2 linked regions of the Drosophila melanogaster genome follow. The protein of the gene in region 1 interacts with the protein of each later gene in a pairwise test. Each region holds a gene or a part of one and is shown on either strand. Other genes may lie near its edges. The genes, in order: Galphas and Sam-S.

The links.
Region 2: the proteins of Galphas (region 1) and Sam-S interact in a two-hybrid assay, tested with the Drosophila melanogaster proteins (one large-scale study listed by BioGRID).

Annotation. Positions count from the first base shown.
Region 1 is NT_033778.4:23,936,536-23,948,772, forward strand, and holds Galphas (G protein alpha subunit s), read left to right. Parts: upstream 1-6,002; 5' UTR 6,003-6,066; exon of another isoform or gene 6,067-6,279; intron 6,280-7,441; exon of another isoform or gene 7,442-7,694; 5' UTR 7,695-7,929; coding exon 7,930-8,205; intron 8,206-8,271; coding exon 8,272-8,368; intron 8,369-8,424; coding exon 8,425-8,545; intron 8,546-9,160; coding exon 9,161-9,289; intron 9,290-9,362; coding exon 9,363-9,542; intron 9,543-9,601; coding exon 9,602-9,726; intron 9,727-9,902; coding exon of another isoform or gene 9,903-9,911; coding exon 9,912-9,985; intron 9,986-10,065; coding exon 10,066-10,212; 3' UTR 10,213-10,401; downstream 10,402-12,237. Other genes in the region: CG3735 (uncharacterized protein), read right to left, coding at 933-2,068, 2,124-2,828, 2,886-3,147; Taldo (transaldolase), read left to right, coding at 3,895-3,991, 4,522-4,645, 4,705-5,479; orcokinin, read right to left, coding at 10,556-10,805, 11,081-11,117, 11,817-11,862, 11,954-12,022.
Region 2 is NT_033779.5:103,174-113,715, forward strand, and holds the start of Sam-S (S-adenosylmethionine synthetase), read left to right. Parts: upstream 1-3,729; 5' UTR 3,730-3,827; intron 3,828-4,587; exon of another isoform or gene 4,588-4,591; 5' UTR 4,592-4,665; exon of another isoform or gene 4,666-5,173; intron 5,174-5,414; 5' UTR 5,415-5,512; coding exon 5,513-5,636; intron 5,637-6,420; exon of another isoform or gene 6,421-6,577; coding exon of another isoform or gene 6,578-6,620; intron 6,621-7,232; coding exon 7,233-7,310; intron 7,311-7,581; coding exon 7,582-7,704; coding exon of another isoform or gene 7,705-7,727; exon of another isoform or gene 7,728-7,831; coding exon of another isoform or gene 7,832-7,944; exon of another isoform or gene 7,945-8,164; intron 8,165-8,733; coding exon 8,734-8,846; intron 8,847-9,516; coding exon 9,517-10,196; intron 10,197-10,260; coding exon 10,261-10,369; 3' UTR 10,370-10,542. Other genes in the region: Creld (cysteine rich with EGF like domains), read left to right, coding at 1-261, 343-590; Nhe1 (Na[+]/H[+] hydrogen exchanger 1), read right to left, coding at 1,300-1,774, 1,832-2,163, 2,218-2,282, 2,339-2,742, 2,796-3,469. UniProt on the Drosophila melanogaster protein: Catalyzes the formation of S-adenosylmethionine from methionine and ATP. The reaction comprises two steps that are both catalyzed by the same enzyme: formation of S-adenosylmethionine (AdoMet) and triphosphate, and subsequent hydrolysis of the triphosphate.

The sequences.
Region 1 (12,237 bases):
CGAACCCCTAGTTCTTCGTTTGGCTTTTCTGCCTTTTTCCCCAATTTCAGCAGAGACTGGCAGCCGTCGACTATTTTTATTTATAGGCTTGTAATGCCCCTACGGACTCGGACTCTCAGATATTGGCAAGAGCGCTCTCCGCACACGTTTCTGCCGTATGATATCCGCCATCAGCCATCCGCCTTGTGCAGCAGCTATTACGACTTTTCACAGAGACCCCCATAAATATGCATTTGGCTACTATTTTACCTCTATATGTCTAGGCCAGAACTTTTATAAGCTACCTATGTGTATATTTAAAAATGTTGATAAATGACAATGCAGCCAGGAATTTTGATTTATTTTGGGACTGGCAAATCTGGGTTTGATGCGGTTGTCAACCGCTGGATATTGTCTATTTAGGAACTCGGTATATGGTAATGGTTCCAGATTCCAGCAATCTCAAGCAATCAAGCGAAGTGATCATTTAAAAACAAATACAAACTGCAAAATAATGTTTTTTAACACTTAATTGCCTTATAAATGATAACTTTTATTGCATAATGCTCTGGCCAATCTTCCTTTATAAAAAAGGGATATTAAAGTAAAAACAGGCAAAATATATTGAATTCAAATGCATTTTGAATCATTTCATCAATCGGCAAAACACTACTTATGCTGCCTCTTATTACACAACCATTTGCCAATTATTCATTTTTTCATAATTTCAAATTGCGTAATAACAAAGAGAAGACATCGCCACCCTTAACATCAGATCAATCACCTAGCCAGTTCCTCCTAAAATCTCTACGTCACGAAAGTATTTAGGTCCAAAAATAGAGCCACAACTGAAAGTTATCACATACATTACTATTTACTTGCGTTAACATTTAGTATATTCTAATTGACAACTAAATATGTACATATTTCAAAGTCAGCTCTCGTGTAAGCATTTACGTTTTGGTGGAGAAAAGGTAGGAATCCTTTTGACCAGAAGTCAATTTCGCAGCATTCTCACTGCCCACAATGTTACTCAAGCTTAGCAGATCGTACTTTGTGTACAGGATACTGACGGACATTTCGTCCCCAAATCCATCGCGCGGATTTTGATTTGTCTTCAGCATCAGATTGATGATCTCGGAATAGAAGTGCGGAAAGTTGGGCGGCTGGTACATGATCAAGTTCCGGATGCCCTTAATCCGCGTGCGCCGGAAGAAGTGCGCTCTTTCCGAGTACAACAGAACAGATGCCCCGCTGTGGAAGAATATATCTCTCGCCCGGGAAATCTTTTCTTTCTTGGTGTACTCATTTATCTGCACAAAACTGACCATTTCGGTCTTGAAATGGTTGCGTATCCGTACGTAGTCAAAGTAGCTGGGCACGTATAGCATACAGTGCGAGAAACCGGGCTTACTGAATTGGGGCATAATATTCTTGACGAAGTACTGGAACCGATCGTCGAAGGTCGTCTCCACACTGGAGCAATTGATTAGGCGGAAAACCTGATGTATTGGAGTCAGAACGTTCCGGATGTCTCCGTGCTCGACGAGGTTCGAGTCTCGCACCTTTCCCTGGTAGTTGTTGCACTTGCTGTTGAACACTGCCCGGAACTCGGGCAGCTCGTGGGACGAGAAGAACAGGGTTTGGCGGTAGAAACTTGACGCTCCACTCAGGCACCACGTTCGTACCCTCTGGCAATTCGTATCGGGCAGCTTCTGCGGCTGCAGGTGCAGGTGGTCCAGGGAGTGCAGCAGGTTCTCCCAGTTCTGCGCCAGGAACAATTCGGCTTGGTCGATTATCAGCAGTTCAATGGAGTTCAAAAAGTCAAAATCGCTCTCCTTGTCCGTAACCAGCATTCTCAGTCCCAAGGGAGACGCGATCAACATGTCCGATGCGTTCATATCGGAGAATAGGGACATGGTTTTCTTTGTAAAACGAATACCTAGTTTGAAGTTGTCATCCGTGTTGCCACTGAATGTTTGCTCATAATCCATTGGCTTTGGGTTGGTTTTGGGGAAGTAAATCGTATTCCCGGAGTAATCTCCCAGGAAGCGTTCATAGTTCGCGATCGAGGTTTTCCTGGCCTGATCTGTGAAGGACATTTAATGGTAATACAGGTTCTTTGCTATCAACGGGTGACTTACCATCTTGACTGCCAAAGAGTAGATCTCCGAGTATATTTACAATCCTTAGAGCCGATTCCCTGAAGGGCACTACAAAAACGACCTTCATCCGCTTAAGCCCTTGGTCCCTGAAGCTCTCTGGTATAGAGATTTCGTTGGGCGACATTTTTTGTGACTTGGCCAAAGCCGAAACCTTTTCGTTGTTGCGCAATATCAGTGATCTGACTTTCAGCATGTGGTTCAGGGCGTGCAGGCAGTATACATAGCGAATATCCTCGGCATTGCCATGAGTTCGATGGGGATAGTATATATCTTGGTAGTTATTGGCGATGTAGAAGAGCTGGGACTGCAGGGCAGTGAGTGGCAGTTTGGCGTTTGCACAAATGGACGCCTTCACCTCCAACTTTTGCAGATCTTCCGTGCTTGCAATGTCCTTGGGCTCGCTGCAGTCGGGCTCCTTGAAGTCCTCAGTCAGTCGTGGTATATCGAACCTTACATTCCCCAGAGCGGACCAGTTCCTCTTGATTGTTTTAACATCCTTTCTCGCAATCAAATCGTTGATATTATCCGTAGATAGCTCAAAATCGAAGCGTTTCGAAAACGAATTGTATATTTCCAAGTCGACACCTAACTGCTCGGAACGCTTTTCCTTTTTGGGTTTGATCTTCCTGGGCACGGGAATAACGTGATCCTCTTCCTTCTCTGCTTTTGAGCGTAGGATGTCACCTGGAAACGATATTCTTAGTTAGTCATGGGCACATTTTTGTCCATTGCAAGGGCTACTTGTGGGTATGTTATTAACACCAGTTATGAGCTTTTTATAGAACTCAGTCTCGTCCACATCATCCTGGATCTCCGGCAACAGCTCCGCCACGGGCTCATATTCCTGTTTCGGTGCTGTGGGCATTCGTTCCCTGCGGTGGGACTCCTCCATTTGCTTGCTCCTCTGGATGAAACTGTAGTTCTTCGAGAATCTCTCATTTCGCCGGGCGGGCGTTGGTTTCTTGTAGGGCTTCGCCCTGTTCTTCGAGTGTTTTTGTTTCATTTTAAACTGTTTGTTACCGAGTATCTTTCGCACACACGTGTGGATCAACAAACATCTGGATTGGTGAAGGAATCCGATACACAGACATATCGATAGCTCCTAGAGATGGCGTGTGGTGAATTTAAAGCCGGTAAAGCTAATTCATTTGAAATTTATAATCTAAGCCATGTTTTTTTAGGAAATCACATAAATTTGCTATGAAACCCCAGTAGGTGACCAACGATGAATTGATTTCTGGCATATAAATATCAAAAAATTGTCTAAGATATGACTTTTGAAGCGGTCAAATATGGTGATTTTCCGATTTGAAGTACTGGGCGAACTGAAATCTCAGTAGGTGACCAGCCTAGTCCAAGTAAAATCAATATCATTGCACTAGAAAAATCATCTAAAAAAAATGCATACTTTTAAAATTATCGTTAGTTTACGAAAATTTTCTTCCGACCCAAAATGTTCAGCGCTTTCTGTACAAGAACGAAAGTATGCACTTATTTATTCGTCCAATTACAAGTAGATGGTTATTTATATTTAACAAGCTATTCACCTAAGATTAGCTTGAATACCTTATCATCACAGTTAAAGATTAATGTTAGGGAGCTAGTTTAAGTCTGCTTAATTGTCAGGAATCCCCCTGATGGCCCCTTATATCGATTCCTAAACCCAAGTTGGGGCTGTTCAGTATTTTTCCAGAGCCGGGCGGTATAAATTGCCGCTCCAGTGGCGGTCTTATTGCATTGAAGTTGGGCAATGGGAAGTGATCGCACGTTAAAAAAGCAAAAGATGTCGGTATTACAGGAACTCAAGAAAATCACCACAATTGTGGCTGACACCGGCGACTTTGAAGGTAAGTACGCACGCAAGGTATTTTTCTTAACAAGATGAGTCCGATTTCAAAGCTAGCGTAAGTTTGCCTCAAAAGTGGGAATCCAGAAATGCAACTAAAGCGAAATGCGAGTCTGAGCTCGAACATCCATACATATATAGAGCATACATAGAATCCGAGTCCAAAGATACATAGGATACATGGATTTATCCAAAAGATAAACATTAACGACGGGCCATCGGATCCGTCGTGTCTGCCGCAGTGAAGATCAAATAAAAGTGAAAAGCAAATCCGAGCTGACTTTAGTTTGACCTTTGGTGCTTACGTGTGTTAGAAATGTGACCGCTATAGTAAAGTGTACTATAGAATGCCACCAGAGATAAGGTTTCGGAGCAGAGTGCCAAACCTGCTCAGACATTTGAAAAGTTCAAAGATATTTTCGGTCGGGCGATTGAAAAATGAAAGTCGCTCAACAGGTTTCGAGGTCTTTCTAAAATTCGCAATGTAATTTGGCCCCGCACTTATGCAAATACTTTACACATTGCTTCCAGCCATCAACATCTATAAGCCCACGGATGCCACCACTAATCCCTCCCTCATCTTGTCCGCTTCGTCCATGGAGCGGTACCAGCCGCTGGTCCAAAAGGCGGTGGAATACGCCAAGGGCAAGAAGGGGTAAGCAGTTCACTTGGGTGTTTGCCACACAAAGCTACATAGAATACCATCGTTTGCAGCTCCGTGAGTGAGCAGGTGGCCGAGGCCATGGACTACCTGTGCGTGCTGTTCGGAACGGAAATCCTGAAGGTTGTGCCCGGTCGCGTTTCCACCGAGATCGATGCCCGCTTGTCCTTCGACACCAAGAAGAGCGTGGAGAAGGCCCTGAAGCTGATCGCCCTGTACAAATCCCTGGGCGTCGACAAGGAGCGAATTCTGATCAAGCTGGCGTCCACCTGGGAGGGCATCAAGGCGGCCGAGATCCTGGAGAACGAGCACGGTGTGCACTGCAACCTGACGCTCCTTTTCTCGTTCGCACAGGCCGTGGCTTGCGCCGAGGCCGGCGTGACCCTCATCTCCCCGTTCGTGGGCCGCATCCTGGACTGGTACGTGGCCAACACGGATACCAAGAAGTTCGAGGCGCTCAAGGACCCGGGCGTGATCTCCGTGACGAACATCTACAACTACTACAAGAAGTTCGGCTACAAGACCCTGGTCATGGGCGCCTCCTTCCGTAACGTGGGCGAAATCAAGGCCCTGGCTGGCTGCGATCTGCTTACCATCAGCCCAGCGCTGCTTAAGGAGCTGGAGAACGAGACCGAGTCGGTGGTCACCTACCTGTCCGTAAGCAACGCCAAGCTGCAGGACATCGAGAAGATCACCGTCGATGAGAGCCGGTTCCGCTGGCTGCTCAACGAGGACGCCATGGCCACCGACAAACTTTCCGAGGGCATCAGGAAGTTCGCCGTGGATACTGTTAAGCTGGAGAATTTGATTAAGACCTATCTTAAGTAGATGTTCCTCTGGGTCCGCTAGCAGGTGGAGGATGAATACATTCGTTTTTGAAAAAGACAATGATTTTATACTTTAATAAACACTACAATTAAAAGAGATGACAAGATTCAGTTGGGAGTTATGGAAATTATTAAATGGGTGAATAGGTTTGGCATGCAAATAGCATGATTACTCGTTGCAGATATGGATACGAATAATAAATACTAAAAGTTTACAAAATAAATAAAATTTGCAAATTATATCACAGATAAAGATACTTTTTTTTTGATACCTTATCATAACAACTTCAAACATGTTTTCTACACGCCCGTGTAGAATATCTATGTAAGCCTGTAGAGACGGCTGCTTATGTAAAGTATCGGACGGGTGTTTCTGGATTTCGCTATTCTACATAGCTCGGGATACTTTATTTTATTATTAATATTCGCTAAAATAGCACATCGTCATTTGGCATAGATGTTTTTGGCCCAGTAACATATCTATCTACATCACCGCCCGCACTATCCGATAGGCAGACTGACTATCGATAAAAGTATCTACTTCGTTGCATCCCTAGGTTGATACATAAAATAAAAAATATATAAAAAGTGAGTTAGTACTGGTATTAAAAGTAATTTTTAAGCTACAAATTGATGAATTGCGAGCACACAGAGACTAAGAACATTGGGAATCCGGAAAACAGTGGCTGGCGCGTCGGGTGCGATAGAATTGCCTGTTTTTCAGACCCCAAAAGTCGCTCCCAACCGAGTCGTGCACCTATAGTCTTGGCCCGAAGTTGCTCCCATGAATAAAAATGTTCGGTAATTTCACGGTAAACAATAACCATTGTCGAACGCAGGGAATAGTCGCGTTCGCACACGTAATTGCCATCGCGCAGAGATGTGATTCGCCCCTGCAGCCCCTCGATCTCGACCGACCTCCCGATTTTCGGACGTCCTGCGTCCTGCGACCTGCGACCTGCGTCCCATGTCCTTAAACCTGAAATCAGTGAAAAATCGTTCGCGCATGAATATCCAAAATACAATCCCATCCATCGAATTCAATCCATTCGAATCCAAACCAATCCAAGCAGATGCGTTGCGATGCGATTCCATTCCATTCGATTCGATTCGATCCGATTCGCGATGGTATAGGTATAATATAGTTTTTCTAACCAAGTGTCAAAGAAATGGCAAATATTTCGGATTCGGAGGCACGGAGCACTACGTATTGATATATGTACATACATTTATTTATGTACATCCATCCATTCACACATGCGAACCGAGAACTTGTGTATATATCTAAATACATACGCACGTATATACGAGTAGATACACAACGGTGTGTACTCATATCTGTGAGATATATATGTGCCCGTGTCCGTGTCCGTGCCCGCTTAGATCCCGATTCCGATGCCGATGAATTTATGTACATATATTTACATTAAAATCTGCATATCTGCCATATCTGGCATATCTGCCACCACCCCCTCCGCCTATATAGGTATATGTGTAGGGTATAGTACGTTCATCTTCCTGCGACTCCCGTCGGTCGGCAATAATTGCTAGATTAAATACTCTTAATATTCGCGTGCCTACACTCATCCGTAAACCCACATACGAGCTAATCGAATCCGAATCCGCGTATCGGACCCATCCATTCCATTCGAGCCTCAACTGCAGATGGAATTATGTTGGGTTGGTATCTCTATATACATGCGTACCTGCTGCCCAGTATGCGCGAGAGTGCCACCCTCTCCGCCCCCTTCTTCACCTGTTACACTACGCCGATGTTGTGGATGTCGATGTGAATGAGAATGTGAATATGGCTGTGAATATGGATGTGAATATGAATGTGATGAATTCCAATCGTCCGACGCGAATGTCCAACGCGAATGAACGCGCGTTGCGTGGAGTAATTTTTGATTTTGATTTTCATTCCGATTCCGATGCTATGCGAGCGCTTTTGGGACCCGAAACCCAGTGACTCACGGGACTTTCGTGGGCGGCAATGTCAGCGGCGTCGCCTTGGCTTAGTAGGCACCCATTTTGGTCGCTACACTCGCGCGTACGCGGATGATATGGGGGCACTGAAGTGGATTCGGGATTCTATGCAATCGAAATGGGTTTCTGCTGGAGAATCTCAGTTAGTGGGAATAGAAAGCTCGAGGATCGTTAGTTCTGAAAGTTCTGTTACTCATTTTTCCATCTACTATACCATTGTACGAATGCAGCCTGCTGCAGAGATCCACTGAAGCGCTGAGCCAACGCCAACGGTGGTGCCACTGAGATCGGAGATCGGAGATCGCAGACCGGAGACCGACGAGCACACAAGGGATTGTGGTTTGATCCGAGGAACCCAAGCACTCAGCTATACTGGAGCAGAACGGAGAAAGCACAAGGGGTGCCGAGTCGCCCGACGCGAACCAGGAAAACCGAGCGACGTGTTGGTGGACCCCGTGGGCTGCGATGGGTTGCTTTGGGTCGCCCACCTCCAAGCAGTCGGACGTGAACTCGGAGGACTCGAAGAGCCAGAAGCGCCGGAGCGATGCAATATCTAGACAGTTGCAGAAGGACAAACAGCTCTACAGGGCCACACACAGGCTGCTCCTCCTGGGGGCGGGCGAGTCCGGCAAATCAACCATAGTCAAGCAAATGCGAATATTGCATGTCGACGGATTTTCTGACTCGGAAAAGAAACAGAAAATTGATGATATTAAAAAGAATATTCGAGACGCTATCTTGGTGAGTTCCATCCCGCCGGCCATCTAAGCCCAAACACTTGCTTAACTCCTTGCCAATCCCTTACAGACTATTACAGGAGCCATGAGCACACTTAATCCACCTGTAGCTTTAGAAAAGAAGGAAAATGAACCCAGAGTGGAGTACATTCAGGATTATGCATCTAGTAAGAGCCTCTGCCGCCCCAACTTAAGTTGTTATCAACCATTATCTGCCCCGCAGGTCCGGACTTTAATTATCCTCCTGAATTTTATGAACATACAGAAGAACTATGGAAAGACAAGGGCGTTCTTCAAACCTATGAGAGGTCGAATGAGTATCAATTAATCGATTGTGCGAAATAGTAAGTAATGCCCACCCACATTTAACATCCTGCCATCGATGTGTTGAGCCAAACGAATAGTTCTTGTAGCACTACAAACAGATTTAATTGTTTAATTTAATTCATCTCGGAGTGCATGCCAATTGTTCTGAAAGCTTAACTATGTGTTTCACTTGGAAGTGCAGAAATTCAATGCGTTGGATCGAAAGTATGCAACTTTTAATTCTAACAAGTAATCCGCTTGATGAAGTAAACTTTAAATATCGTCGCTTTGCTGCAGTATGACTATCTGAAAGTAGAACCACAACCTAAACCTACTTTCGCATTCCATATCTGTCTGTCTGTACAATAATTACTACAATATATGGGTTTTAGAATGAGTCCAATTCTTAAAAGGAGCTAGTAGTCGAAGTAGTACCAACTACGCCATGCACATAGAAGTATCGTAACGATCATACTTTTCCAAGTTGAGAAGGCTTTTTGTTTAATTCCCCGAAGAAACAAGTTGCTAAACACCAAGTCCCAATTTTCCGTAGTTTATGCCAGCTAATCCGCATTTGTACTTGTATCTAAGCTTGATTAAGGCACTGAAACCGAATTTGTACTTACTTCTACACTTGATATTCTGCTTTGAAGCTTCCTGGACCGAGTGAGCACAATCAAGAATCCAAACTACACCCCTAATGAGCAGGATATTCTTCGGTGCCGTGTTTTGACTTCTGGAATATTTGAAACAAGATTTCAAGTGGACAAAGTAAACTTTCAGTAAGTGTAATCCCAAGTGATATCGCAATATTTTAGTTTCTATTCCATTCTAATGATGTGCATTCGCGTGCAGCATGTTCGATGTCGGTGGCCAGCGGGACGAGCGTAGGAAATGGATTCAGTGTTTCAATGATGTAACTGCTATCATATTCGTAACTGCGTGCTCAAGTTATAACATGGTTTTGCGGGAAGATCCCACCCAGAACCGACTTCGAGAATCTTTGGATTTGTTCAAGAGTATTTGGAACAACAGGTGAACCGAGCAATTTGGCGCCATCTCGACAAATGGAAACTAACGAGTTGTTCTTTCAGATGGCTTCGCACGATTTCTATTATACTATTTTTAAATAAGCAAGATTTGTTAGCAGAGAAAATTAAGGCTGGAAAAAGTAAATTGTCGGAATATTTCTCCGAGTTTAACAAATACCAAACGCCAAGTAAGTAAAATAGTATAACCCATAGTAGAGGCCAATTGAGGGCGAGGGAGTCATCAGATCAACCGACTCAGATCTGGCCAAGAAATTCGCAATTCCTTTTCAAATTTGCAAACCGTGCCCAAGTTAACTTAAGAAATTTAATGGATAATGTATTTTGTCTAATTTCAAATGTGCTGTCGACACAGGTGACGCAATAATGGAATCCAATGATGACCCAGAAGTAATACGAGCAAAATATTTCATACGAGACGAGTTTCTGGTGGGTTATATCACATCTCCGTTTCTTCCTCCACCTATCTAACTAGCCTTAATCCTTAATGGGATCTCTTTCTTATATAGCGTATATCTACCGCTAGCGGAGACGGAAAACACTACTGCTATCCACATTTCACATGCGCCGTTGACACAGAAAACATTAAACGTGTGTTTAATGATTGCAGAGACATTATTCAAAGGATGCACCTTCGTCAATATGAATTGTTATAGGTTATCCCCATCGCCGTAATGCAAGTAAATAAAAATATTAATGACTTACTGTTTTAAATATAATTATCAAATGTAATTTGTATTTAAATAGTCCCTTGATTAAAACAAAAAATTCGCTGCATTTAGATCTGGTATGACCTTTCACAAAACTCAACATTAAAGAATAATAAATAAACATGTTAATAACAGACACGCTTGTTTCGATTATTTTGGCTATTCTACCAGGATGCACCTGCTTTATTTTCTATAGTCCCTTGACATGAAGCATTTTAGAGTATTTCCGCTATCAGAGTCCGTATCCATATCCATGGGCATTTACATTCACGCGCTGTCGAAGGTATCACTAGACGAGCTGGTTGAGGATGCTGAAGCTGGCGGAGGCCTTGTCGATCTCGTCGAAGTTCCGCTTGAGCTTACTGCTCCAGGTGTCCTTGTACAGGGGGTCCATCCTCACCAGGTAGGGCACCAGGTCCCGGTGATGGCCAGACCCGATCTTGCCGGCCGCGCACTGCTTCACCGAGTACTTCGTCTTGAACTCCGACTGGCTGCACTCGTAGCAGACGACCGTTTGTCCATTGGCAGCCGAAATCAATCTGGGGATCAGGGCATATGTTTCAGTGATTGGGAAGGGGATTAGTGAGTTCAGTGAGTAATGGCAAATAGGCGGGCAAGCAGGCACTTTGGCTGCCGGTATAGCCACGTATTATTCGGATCTGTTATCTGCATATTTACATACATTATATATAGAGCCTATTTCGATAACATCCGGATAAGACCTGATAGCAGCAGCCGAGTCTCAGATATCTGATAGTACTACATATAAACCTGTCGCACGATGGGCATATTCACGTGCCACCATATCACTCACCTCACTATAAACGGTCCATCGTACTTCTTCGAGCCAGCTTTTTGGGGCAGCATGTGTTAGCGGTGGTAAGGGATTAGTGTAAGTCTAGATTTTTGGAATTTACATGAATGACTCTCCTCTGGAGGGCGAAAGTAAAACTCTTTACAAATGCAATAATTTATTAACAATTAGGAGCTACATCATTTTATATGCACATATAAAATAAAGACCAGGCTGCTTATTTACATTTCAGTTTCATTTCGGTCCTCGATATTGTCAAAGTCAATGGAGTGGTGCGGAAGCGGAAGCGGAAGTTGGGAATGTGGCGGTTTCTAGTCGCTTAGGAACTGTCTACTCTGCGTCCGCTTTATCAAATGACCGCCACCAATGCTGTCCAAGCCGCGCTTCGAAACCGTTCTCGAGAAGCGCTCTTGCAAGGACTCGGGGCTCTTGTTTTTGGACAGAAATATATTTACATTTCGTTGGAAGAGTTTGTAAAACTCGTTAAACAACGGCGATGTGGAAAGGTCGTCGTTGGGAAGTCCGGTTTGTCGTAAACTCACGCTGTTTCCGTTACACAATTCTCTTAACGCTGGCAGATCTGATCGAAATCGAAATCGAAATAATAAGAAATTAGGACTTAATGGCTTTGTACAAAAGCTAAGCTGTTGGTTATGATAATTAAAAAGTTCGAGTATATATATGTACATATATGTACAAGTTGGTTCTCAGTATGTGTTCAATGGCTCGTTGTTACCTTCACAAAGATATTTTCCATCCAGCAGTTCGTCGTTGGAAATATCCTAAAACATAGTTAGCTATAGTAATTGTAATCCGTTTACAGAAGCCCGTAGCTTTCCACTGGATATTCTCGAAAGCACTTCAAAAACGTACCACACCGGGCGCTGCGTGAATGAAGTTCAGGAACACCGATACCACCGCCAGGAGCACATATAGATTCATGATTCCAGCCGTTGACCGTTAGCCTGGTGCACTTGGGAGCGATTTGAAGATGACTGTGCCGATTTGCCGCGCCGCAGTTCGTTTTATACCCGATTCGGGGCAAACATCCTCTGACTTAAACAGGGTGATGGCAAATTTATGATGCAGATAACCACCGACGACAGCTAAAAGACCGCAGGAACGCACCCGTTATTAACGGCTTAGTGGCTCGATGG
Region 2 (10,542 bases), on another chromosome or scaffold:
GCACGGGAGGTGGTCCCAAGAGCTGCCGCAAGTGTAAGAAGGGCTGGAGCATGGACTCGGAGGCAGGATGTGTCGACATTAATGAGTGCTTGGAGCAACAGCGTCCAAACCCTTGCCGACCACAGCAGTTCTGCGTGAACAATGAGGGCTCCTTTAGTTGCCTGGAGTGTGATCGATCTTGCGATGGATGCGATGGTGATGGCCCTGACATGTGCAGGAAGTGTGCGGATGGCTATGAGTTGAAGGAAGGAAAGTGTCATGGTAAGTAAGACAGAAATTTAATAAATTTGCTTTTAAGCAACGCATTGTCCACTGTATGTATTGCGCCTCCGATCATTTAAGATATTTCTGCGGAGCAACGCAGCAACTACGTAAGCTTTACGCGAATGCTCACCTACTTCGGAATGTGCGTGGCCACCTGTGTCATCTTCCAGAGCTCTACTCATATTGCCTGGGGTTGCATTGTTGGGGCGGCAGTGGCAGGGTACATTGCTGTTTCCGAGTACTGGATCAACTCGGAGGCAGGAGGCGGCCACCAACCCGAAATAGATACAAAACAGTTGGAGGAACTAATAATGAAGTCTTTATAAGTCAAAAGACATGTCAACATTGCTTTCCTTTTATGATATACACGAGCGTTTTGAAAAGCATAATCTTTTAACATTCCCCCAAGACATCTAACGATTTTTGTACTTCGTTTGCAGTCCGCAGTGATTCAAACTCCACGGTGCTCGGTGAAGAGTCCACGCACGAAGAATTGTAAAAGTAACCAAAAACGCACACCTTTTGTAGCCAATTTTACTTTAATAGGTAATATTATCAATTGATATGTAATTATAAATTAGAATTTCAAAAAGCAGGGCATGACCATATTTTTTTACACGTACCACACTTAGATATTTATTTGGTTTCAAAAATGTATAAAATCACAAATACAGCATATATTCGTATGAATAAATATTTTTAACTAAAATTACTGACGTAGTGTGCTTTTGTGACGTCCAAATTTTCATTTTGAAGACCATCTGTCGTGTGCAATGTAATACTGCTTTAAGCGGATTAATAAAGGAGCTACAGTGATACGAATGAATCATTGCATTTGGATCTTACAAAATGAAAATTTGTAAACAAAAAATATACACAAGATAACAACCATCACCGCGCTATATAAATAAAAACTCTAAAAATATTAACTAGAGGAACTTAAGCATTACATACGATCGTTCCCTTTGGCTTCTAAAGTTATCCAACACAGTCCGAAACGGATACAGAGCTCCCCCCACAACAGCCATTTAATCCCTACGACCGTGTCAAATGAATTTGACTTGTGCTGGCCGCTAGTCCTATCTCTTCGTCCGATTCATCTGAATCCAATGGACTCACTCGAATGGCTTGGTACCACTTGTTAGTCAGGTCGGCCATCTGTGACTTGCACTCGTGCAATTCCTGACTATTGAACCGACGTGTAAAAAACGGAATAAAGTACTTGCGATCCATGCGCCCAAAACGATCGCGCGCTTGAGTAAAGGTGACGTCCTCTTCCTCGGTGAGTTCAGACAAGTGTTCAGAGTCGATTGCCTGGCCCCATTCGCGAGTTTTCGATAGGGAAATAGATTTTGAACGCTTCCTACCGCTGCCGTTGCGTCGACCTCCCTCCTCAGCGGCATTCCTTCCAGAGCCGCGTGCCCGCCGTTTTTTTCCTGGCTTAAGGTACTTTAGCAGAGGCATTGTGGAGCCCCCCAGCACTAGCGTGGTAAATAGCACAATGATTAATCTGAAATTTTAATTCTTCAATGACTGAGCATTATTTTACAATCCGGAATATGCTTACGTTGTTGTTATGATGACGTGTCGTTTCTCCTGGCTGTCAAGATTCAAGTGCAAAGATAGCGCGTAGGAAATCGCTCCGCGTAGGCCAGAAAACCACATAATGAACTGCATCTTGTTATTGATCTTATGCTCGCGAAATTTGTTGACCAAGAACGCGAGCGGAAAAATATTGCAGGCGCGGCCAATTAAGCAAAGCACAATGGCCCATATAACAAAAGATAGTTCAACTTGGTGTTTAAAAGAAAAGATTGCTAATCCCAGATAAGCAAACACGCAGGTCTCAGCAATGAAAGCTAGTGTCCTCATCGTCTGCTGCATGGTAATTTGGGTAACCTACGATTAAAAAAGTTTTAATAATATATAAAATAGGGATATCATATGACTTACAGTGGATAGGTTGAAATGCGTGTAGTGGGACATGACGATTCCGCAAAATAGTATAGCCATAATACCTATAGTTGAAAAAAATGTTTAGCTTTTAGAGTCATAGTCAACAACATTGATATACCGCTTAAGTGTATTCCCTCTGCCAAGACGTAAGGTGCGTAAGTAAACATTAGCATCATCGCGAACTCGAGGGATGGATGCTTTCGTAAATCGATGTGCTTCAGAAGAAGAGCCGAAATTAGTGCAAATATGACTCCAATGCCCGCCGAAGCAAAGAACATCGCGCAAAAGGTCTTCAACGCGCTGAACATGGCTTCTCCAGTGCTGGCCTCAGCATTGACGTTAGCGGATTGGGTTATGGATGCAGTCAGCACAATAGATATGGCGTCGTTGAGGATGCTTTCGCCGAATACCAACATGTTGAGTATGGGGTCTACGTCAAGAGCATGGAAAATTGCCACTGTTGCCACAGGATCAACAGCAGAGATGAGAGAACCGAAGGCAAAGGATTCCGAAAAGCTTAGGCTAAAATTTAGGATAAATTATTGAATGAAATTGACAATTTATTTTAAACTTGCCGAAATGCCACCTCCCCCAGGCCCAGCAGGTAAATCCCCGCCCCGATGACTAGTGCAGAAATTGTTGTACCGAATATGGCAAAGACCAGTATGGATCCGATGTTCTGAAAGAAGTTTCCCTTGTGCAGATTGTAACCGGACTCGAATATAATGGGCGGCAGGAGCACCAGAAAGAAGCCCATGGGCGAGAAGACCTCTTCACGTTTCCAACTGCCATTCTGCCCAGACATAACGTTCAGCGAAAGGCCAATAAAGGCGCCCAGAAAGACTACCACAATGCTTTCTGGCAGGTACTGGAACCCGGTCTGGAGCATAGAGTGGATAAGCAGGATGCCCAACATGATAACGCAGATGACGAAAAACAGTGAGAGTGAGGAGTTGTGCTCCTGCTCGACAGCATGGGAATCGATTAGAGGCGGATCTGTGACCAATGTGGATGCGTTTCCCCTTTTCGTGGTGCTTGCATTACCAGATGCAGAAATCGAGGGCGTGACATTTCCAAGCGGACTGTTGACGAAGACATCCGAAACGGTGTGGATAGAGCTACTATTATCTGTAGTGGTGGTGTTGCTTGATGTTTTGCTTTGGGGCACCTCCTGTCCACTGATGCTTTCCGGACCCGCGTGCACCAACAGTAAGAGTGCAGCTGCACTATAAGCTACCCAAACCCTCATTTTTGCCGACAAAACGTGACGTGGTCGCTATTAACGCTCGCATTTAACTTTTCACTATTTGTTCAATTTGTTTTTTCACAAACATCTGTTTATCGCCCTATCTGACGTATATCGGGGAGAGTTGCCGTATCATTTTGGCTTATTGGCGCGTGCCTTTCATATATTCAAAAGAAAATTGTGCACTTAATTGCGTGCAGTATATTTTACCATATAATGAATTTATTTAAATAATTGGCTTTTGCCCAGTCATTGTAGCTGATAGCTCTTGTGAAGTGTCTTGAAAATTGAGCATTTTAAGTTTAAATATTTTTGTCTACGTATTGAGAACGTTTCTTACGGCAAAAAGAAAATTATATATGTATTAGAAAAGTGAAATAATAAAAAACCTTGTTATTGGCAAAGTGATAAATTGTTTAGTTAAGGCTATTACAATAACTGACGATAAATCAGTAAAATAAATGCATTGCCACAATCTACAGTTCGCAAGCACCCACCATTTGTGCTCAAGAATAATGTGCCCTGCGCATCTGTTCGTTCAGGCACACGCGATCTTCTTAGGCCCCGTGGGGTCACACCTTATTTGAAAGATAATGGGGCTTGTTGTTTTCGGTTATATTCAGTGGGTATTAGAATTTTAAAAAATGTACATGCAAAAACTGATTACCAGGCTCCTTGATCTTGGCAGACCTTGTTTGTCTTCTTGGCTGTGGCATGACGTAAGCACTTTTTCAAAAGCACAAATTGTTCGAATAGTATGAGAACCCTAATTGACGACTTTCCTTGACAAGATAGTGTCGAACGATCCATCTCCAAAAGGGCAGTCACTCCATGTTAGGGAAAAGCTAGGGTTTCAACAGATACAGACATTCGTTTAAAAATTCGCTTCGAATTGCGCTTCGTGTAGCGATTGTCTATATCATCGAATATGTATATGTCAATTGCTGTACATAAGAGAAGCCGAGAGAGCAATGCTAAACAGATTTTAAAAATTAGGTATATAGGTGGCTGCCGTGGTAGCACATAGTTTTGTTCTGATAAGCTCTTATTTCTTGCCGACTCATCTTCTCAAATGCTGTCTACAAAAATTTATAAATATTATTCGTCTGTAAAAATCATCCGCAGTTGAACGCAGGTTGAGCAGGAAGCTAGTCGAGACTATAATCCATATCTTGTCTGATCCTTTGTTCAAAACCACAGTGAGTATAAAATAAAGGATCTGGATCTAGATTCACTACAGTTCACTCCGGAGCGGGGTGGCAACGCTGGGCGGCGGAACAGCTGCTTAAAACCCAAAAACGTGGAGATACTGAAGAAGTAAAATCATTTGAGAGTACCGAGAACGCTAGGAAAGTTTCCCTAAAGAGCGCCCAAATAAGTCTCAAAATAATAATCGAGTCAGCCGAAGAGAACCGCCTCCTCCGTTTGCGACGATAAGCAAAAGCCCGCTCTCTCGTTGGAGGTATAAATTCTGAATGGCATTAAAAAGTTGCGCTCTTTTTCTTCAGAACCGTCGCTAAGATAGGACGTGTGTTGGCTGCGCCGCTGATTTGGTTGCCGTCGCTGAACCAGTATAACTCAGAATCAGTGTGTATAATTTGTTGAACTAATAGCTAGAACGTCGAACACGCATTTTAAACAGCTAGCAGCACCGAGCCCTCACCTAGCGACTAGTTTAGCTTTGAACCCGCTCAACGTGCGTCTCATGTATGTAGCGACGATTGTGGCAAACGCGCAGCATAAAAACATAAAAGAAGGGCGATTATATAAAAAAAACTATAACGAAAAGTGTGCGAATACCGGAAAATCCCAACAGCCTCGAGGCGGCCTATAGCTTAGATTCGCGAATGCGAAAATAGATGTGTTTTGCAAGAGTTCGGAAAATCAATTTCGTTAAGCGTTTTTTAACAACCGCTAATGTGGCCTCTCTTTCTCTCTGTTCCCCCAGCTCCACCAACAATTTAGCCGACCGGAACTCGGGTTATAGCACTGCTCCCCCATTGCCCCTTCAAACTTCGAGTTACATATTACAAACTACCCATCAACATGCCGCAAAAGACAAACGGACATAGCGCCAACGGATGCAACGGCAGCAATGGCAACTCATATGACATGGAAGACGGAGCTACATTCCTGTTCACTTCCGAGTCCGTTGGCGAGGGTCATCCAGGTGAGTGCTTCATTGCATCTGCGGCGCCTCCTATTGCATCATACCGATAGTGTCAGTGTAAAAAAAGAAACAATCTCAAATGCCCCTTCGGGCGTGGTGAGAGATGTTGCCTGTCAGTTCTCATAACCTGACCAAACTGATTCTCTAGCGTCTGAGGCCCTTCTGTCTGAAGTCCCTTTCCCTGTATACCCAGTTCCACACCTCCACCGTCTACTCACTTCTGCTTACCGCCTGAACTCTAACAAAATGGCGACGAAATTATGTCCATACCTTTGTTGATTTCTACCCAATTTGCACGACTTGAACAGAGGCTGAGAACGGGAAGAAGAGCTAGTAAAACGTGCCTCTGTTGCATCGCCCGGTGACCAAGCCGGAAAGCTGGGACCACGGAGAACAGCTGGCTTCTCTTGAAATCCCCGCACAACAGCGGGCTAAACCTTGTGCTTGGATGGGCAGACGCAATTAATAGACTGGTTCTTTATCGTTTGCGGCTCTCACATATGTATGTATGTGTGTACAGAGAGACTACGTCATGCGCACCATGTGCTTGTGGCTCATGGGAGATGCGAAATTCAAGTATTCTCTACGTTGTTCTACGTTGTCCACGCACTTGTTCATTTGATCGCAGATGGCGATCAAAACAACGGCCAACACAAACATACCTTACATTTTTCTAGACCGCTGTCAAAGCTTATTTTTTTCACCGAAATTGCCAACCACGTGTTTTGCTCGAGCTCGATCTTTTCGCCCCTCCCAGAGTTTGTTTATATCAGCAGTGGCGACCAGTATAGTAGTGTGTTTGACAACAGCTGTTGATAAGCCGAGCGACCTTTTATACTACGCATTGATTACTTTTACTATTCTATACTATTTTATTTTATAATGCTAATTAAGTCGGCTTGGCAAGCTAGCCCTAGACAATCTAGCCCTATACAATCGTGATGATAAGCGCCGAGTGCCATTCAGAAGAATACACCCCAAATGGTTGACATTAATATCGCCTGTCTTTTTGTAATAAATGAGTGACGGACTTGTTAGAATAGATAATTAGACTAGCCGGAAATTGGAAACCCTGAAACCCATTTCAGAGTAGCTACTTTAAACCCTTGACCTAACTAGTTTCCTCGCAATCATTATCCCAGCCGAAATCGATACCATGCGCCATTTCTATGAGTCAACAGTTTTGGTAATTTATGTTGCTATTGCTGACGCATGTTCGAGTTCAATAACGCCTTTACTACGAAAAGTAGCCGAATGTTGACGGACTCCAATTACGCGCCAAGTTTTGAGGCAAGCGCGAGCAACCCGACTGGTATCAGATGAATCCGACTCCCAGGATTTCATGGACGATTCGGCTTCAAATGTCATCATTTTGTGTTTGGACAACACTACGGTCGCCTTATGCTCTTGTTCTGGGAATTGAATTTCGCTGTCAATAGCAGACAGATTAAATGAAACCGCATGGCCCAGCAAATTTTGATCCGTCGCACTGAATAACATTTTGGCCCGTTCCTCCTTCCACTCCCCGACAAAAATGCTTTCCCCTCCTTCTTCGCCCACCTCTGGCTTACCTCTTGCTTACCTTATTTTTTTTAGACAAAATGTGCGACCAAATCAGCGACGCTATCTTGGATGCCCATCTGAAGCAGGATCCAAACGCGAAGGTGGCGTGTGGTAAGTGTTATGAAACCTGGAGTACATGACTGCTCTGACCCAAAATCAGATTTATATTAAATTCGGCCAATGAAGGTGCGCTGACCAACAATAAATAATCTCATTCATAGAATTAATCAAGAATCACCGTGAGTGCCATTCTTTTTGAAGTTGACTTATTCGATAGCGCCAACATAAAAAAACAAGGTCAAACCACCGGCAAATCTGTTTTTGGATTACCTGAAAAAGTTGCCGAAATTTCTTTTAACACATTCCATAATATTTAATACAGAAACCGTCGCCAAGACGGGCATGATTCTGCTGTGCGGCGAGATCACGTCTAAGGCTGTGGTCGACTACCAGAAGGTTGTTCGTGAGACAGTGCAGCACATTGGTTATGATGACTCCTCCAAGGGTAAGTGTCTATTAGGTACATAAACAATTTGTGGGCGGGTATTACAATTCGTTCCCTACGTCGGTCCTACGAACAATACTGTCAACTCAATATTAAATAACAATAAAATCAAATAAAAATCAAAAAGGTTTCGATTGGAAGACACTTAACCTGCTTGTAGCCATCGAGCAACAGTCGCCCAACATTGCCAACGGCGTTCATATCAACCGCGAAGAAGAAGACGTCGGCGCTGGTGACCAGGTACAGCAAAGCTTTCCGTTCTTCTACTACCGCCTAGCACTAAGTGATGCGGAGTGTGTGCGTTCGTTCGTTTCGTTTCATTTGTTAAGTGTTTCCCTTAATTCGTATCTTTCCCACATTAACTTGGCTTGCTCACAGGCCAACAAGAGTTTCGCCTTTGTCATTAAAAGCTGATGAGCAATAGGAATACTATTACTATAACTATTTTTTCTTAAGCCCCAAAAAAAATCAAATTGACTTGTTTCCCACAGCTACGAACCATTTGGTCGAAGACAACTTAACAATTTCACCTCAAGCAAATATATAACGACTGAAATACATAACATATCACACATTTGGATTACACTGCGGGCGTTCTCTAACCACATAAATTGCATTCAACCAAATCCATTGAAAGATTTATGTAATCATTAAAATTCCGCTAGTTACCGTTTTATGGAAGCAAGAGAAGTCTTGCATGCGGCTTGTCTGACCTATGGAAGAAGGCTTAAAGTTTTCCCAGACTTTGGTATATAGAAAAAACACCAAGAGAGTGCTTATGAAGATTGTAGAAAATACATTTTTTTGTAAACCGTTTTTATATATATAATTATAATCTAAAATAATAGGGTGTTTAAAATCATATTATGAACATTACTTACAGACATTTTCCTGTGTATGTGCACCATTGCTGCGCTTCTCTCTTTTATCTTTCTTTTCGTTTCATATTAAACCAATCTCGATACAATCCAATACCAAACTTTAAACGATATTGTGCACTTCGCAATCGCGCTTCGAAATTCACAAAAGGTTTCGATTTCAAAACGTGCAATGTGCTGTTGGCATTGGACCAACAATCGCCTGAGATCGCTGCGGGAGTGCATGTCAACCGTGCCGAGGAAGAGATCGGTGCCGGAGATCAGGTGTGATTTAGAAGCAGTAAAGAAGTAGCAGTCTCGGCAGGCCGGGATCGAAGGCCCTTTCCGAAGAGCAACGCATCTTTTTAATTTTTATTGATAGCAATTTAGTTGCGACTAAAATATTCATGGTGGTAGGGCGTTTATAAGCTCTTTGGAAGGGGTGTTGTCGCCACTTCTATAATTTCTGTTTATCGTTTCCTTTATATATTTTCGTAACTAATTGAAGTAGTGTATGACGACTTTATTGCTATTTAATTTTAAATTCATCTGTTTGCCACTATATCATAATAGCGCTGCAATATTGCTCCAACCGACCTACCAACCATATGATCGTCTTTTTTGTTAATTGAAGCTGCCAAATCCATATCATTTAACTTTTGACTTTTCAGTCGATACCATAATTAGAATAGCAGACACAAAACTAAGGCACACTACTGCATATATATACATCACTAACATAATTTTGTAAACAACTTTTTGACTCCTAAGTAGCAACAATTAATTCATACCCGAATCTATCACCCATGCTTGATTTACCCTTTCCTAACCCAAATGTGTTTTATTTATCTAACGCTACTGATTCTTTTTGGTTTTGGTTACTTTTAAGTGAATAATTAATGATTAATTAATTAGTGATAGAGATTATTAATGAAGCGAAATAAACTTTTTGCAGGGTATCATGTTTGGATATGCCACCGACGAAACCGAGGAATGTATGCCCCTAACCGTCGTTTTGGCTCACAAACTAAACGAAAAGATTGCTGAGCTGCGTCGCTCAGATGTGTTCTGGTGGGCTCGCCCCGATTCCAAAACACAAGTAACCTGCGAGTACCTCTTCAATCAGGGATCAGCAGTTCCCAAGCGTGTCCACACTATTGTAGTGTCCATGCAGCATTCTGAAAAGATATCGTTAGAAACCCTGCGCTCGGAAGTAATGGAGAAAGTTGTTAAAGTAGTCATTCCCGCCAAATACATTGATGCCAACACCATTGTCCACATCAATCCTTGTGGGCTTTTTGTAATCGGTGGACCAATGGGTGACGCTGGGCTTACAGGAAGAAAAATCATTGTAGATACTTACGGAGGCTGGGGCGCCCACGGCGGCGGTGCATTCTCTGGCAAGGACTTCACCAAGGTTGACAGATCAGCTGCATATGCAGCACGCTGGGTGGCCAAATCACTGGTTAAGGCCGGTCTCTGCAAGCGCTGCCTTGTCCAAGTGTCCTACGCCATAGGTCTTGCTGAGCCTCTCTCCATAACTGTGTTCGACTACGGAACTTCTCACAAGTCACAAAAAGAACTTCTGGATATCATCCGTCGAAACTTTGACCTCAGGCCCGGCAAGATTGTCAAGTAAGTGTCAAACTCTAGATGCTAAAAAATATTTCATAACAATTGTCTATATTTTTGTTTTAAGGGACCTAAACCTGCGCCAGCCGATATACCAGCGAACAAGCACTTATGGACACTTCGGTCGCGCGGGCTTCTCGTGGGAGGAGGCCAAGCCTCTGGAGATTGACAACTGACTAGACGCTGAAGCGTTGCAACCGCAGTCACCATATGCTAAAAGGTCGAAGCTATCCTTATATTCATCAGCGTCAAAATTAACAGATACCCAAGCACCAACGTAATTTTTAGTGTCGTTTTTAAAGCCTAAAGTCAGAGGAGAAGGCGGCATAGGCTTGCCAACTCTTATGGG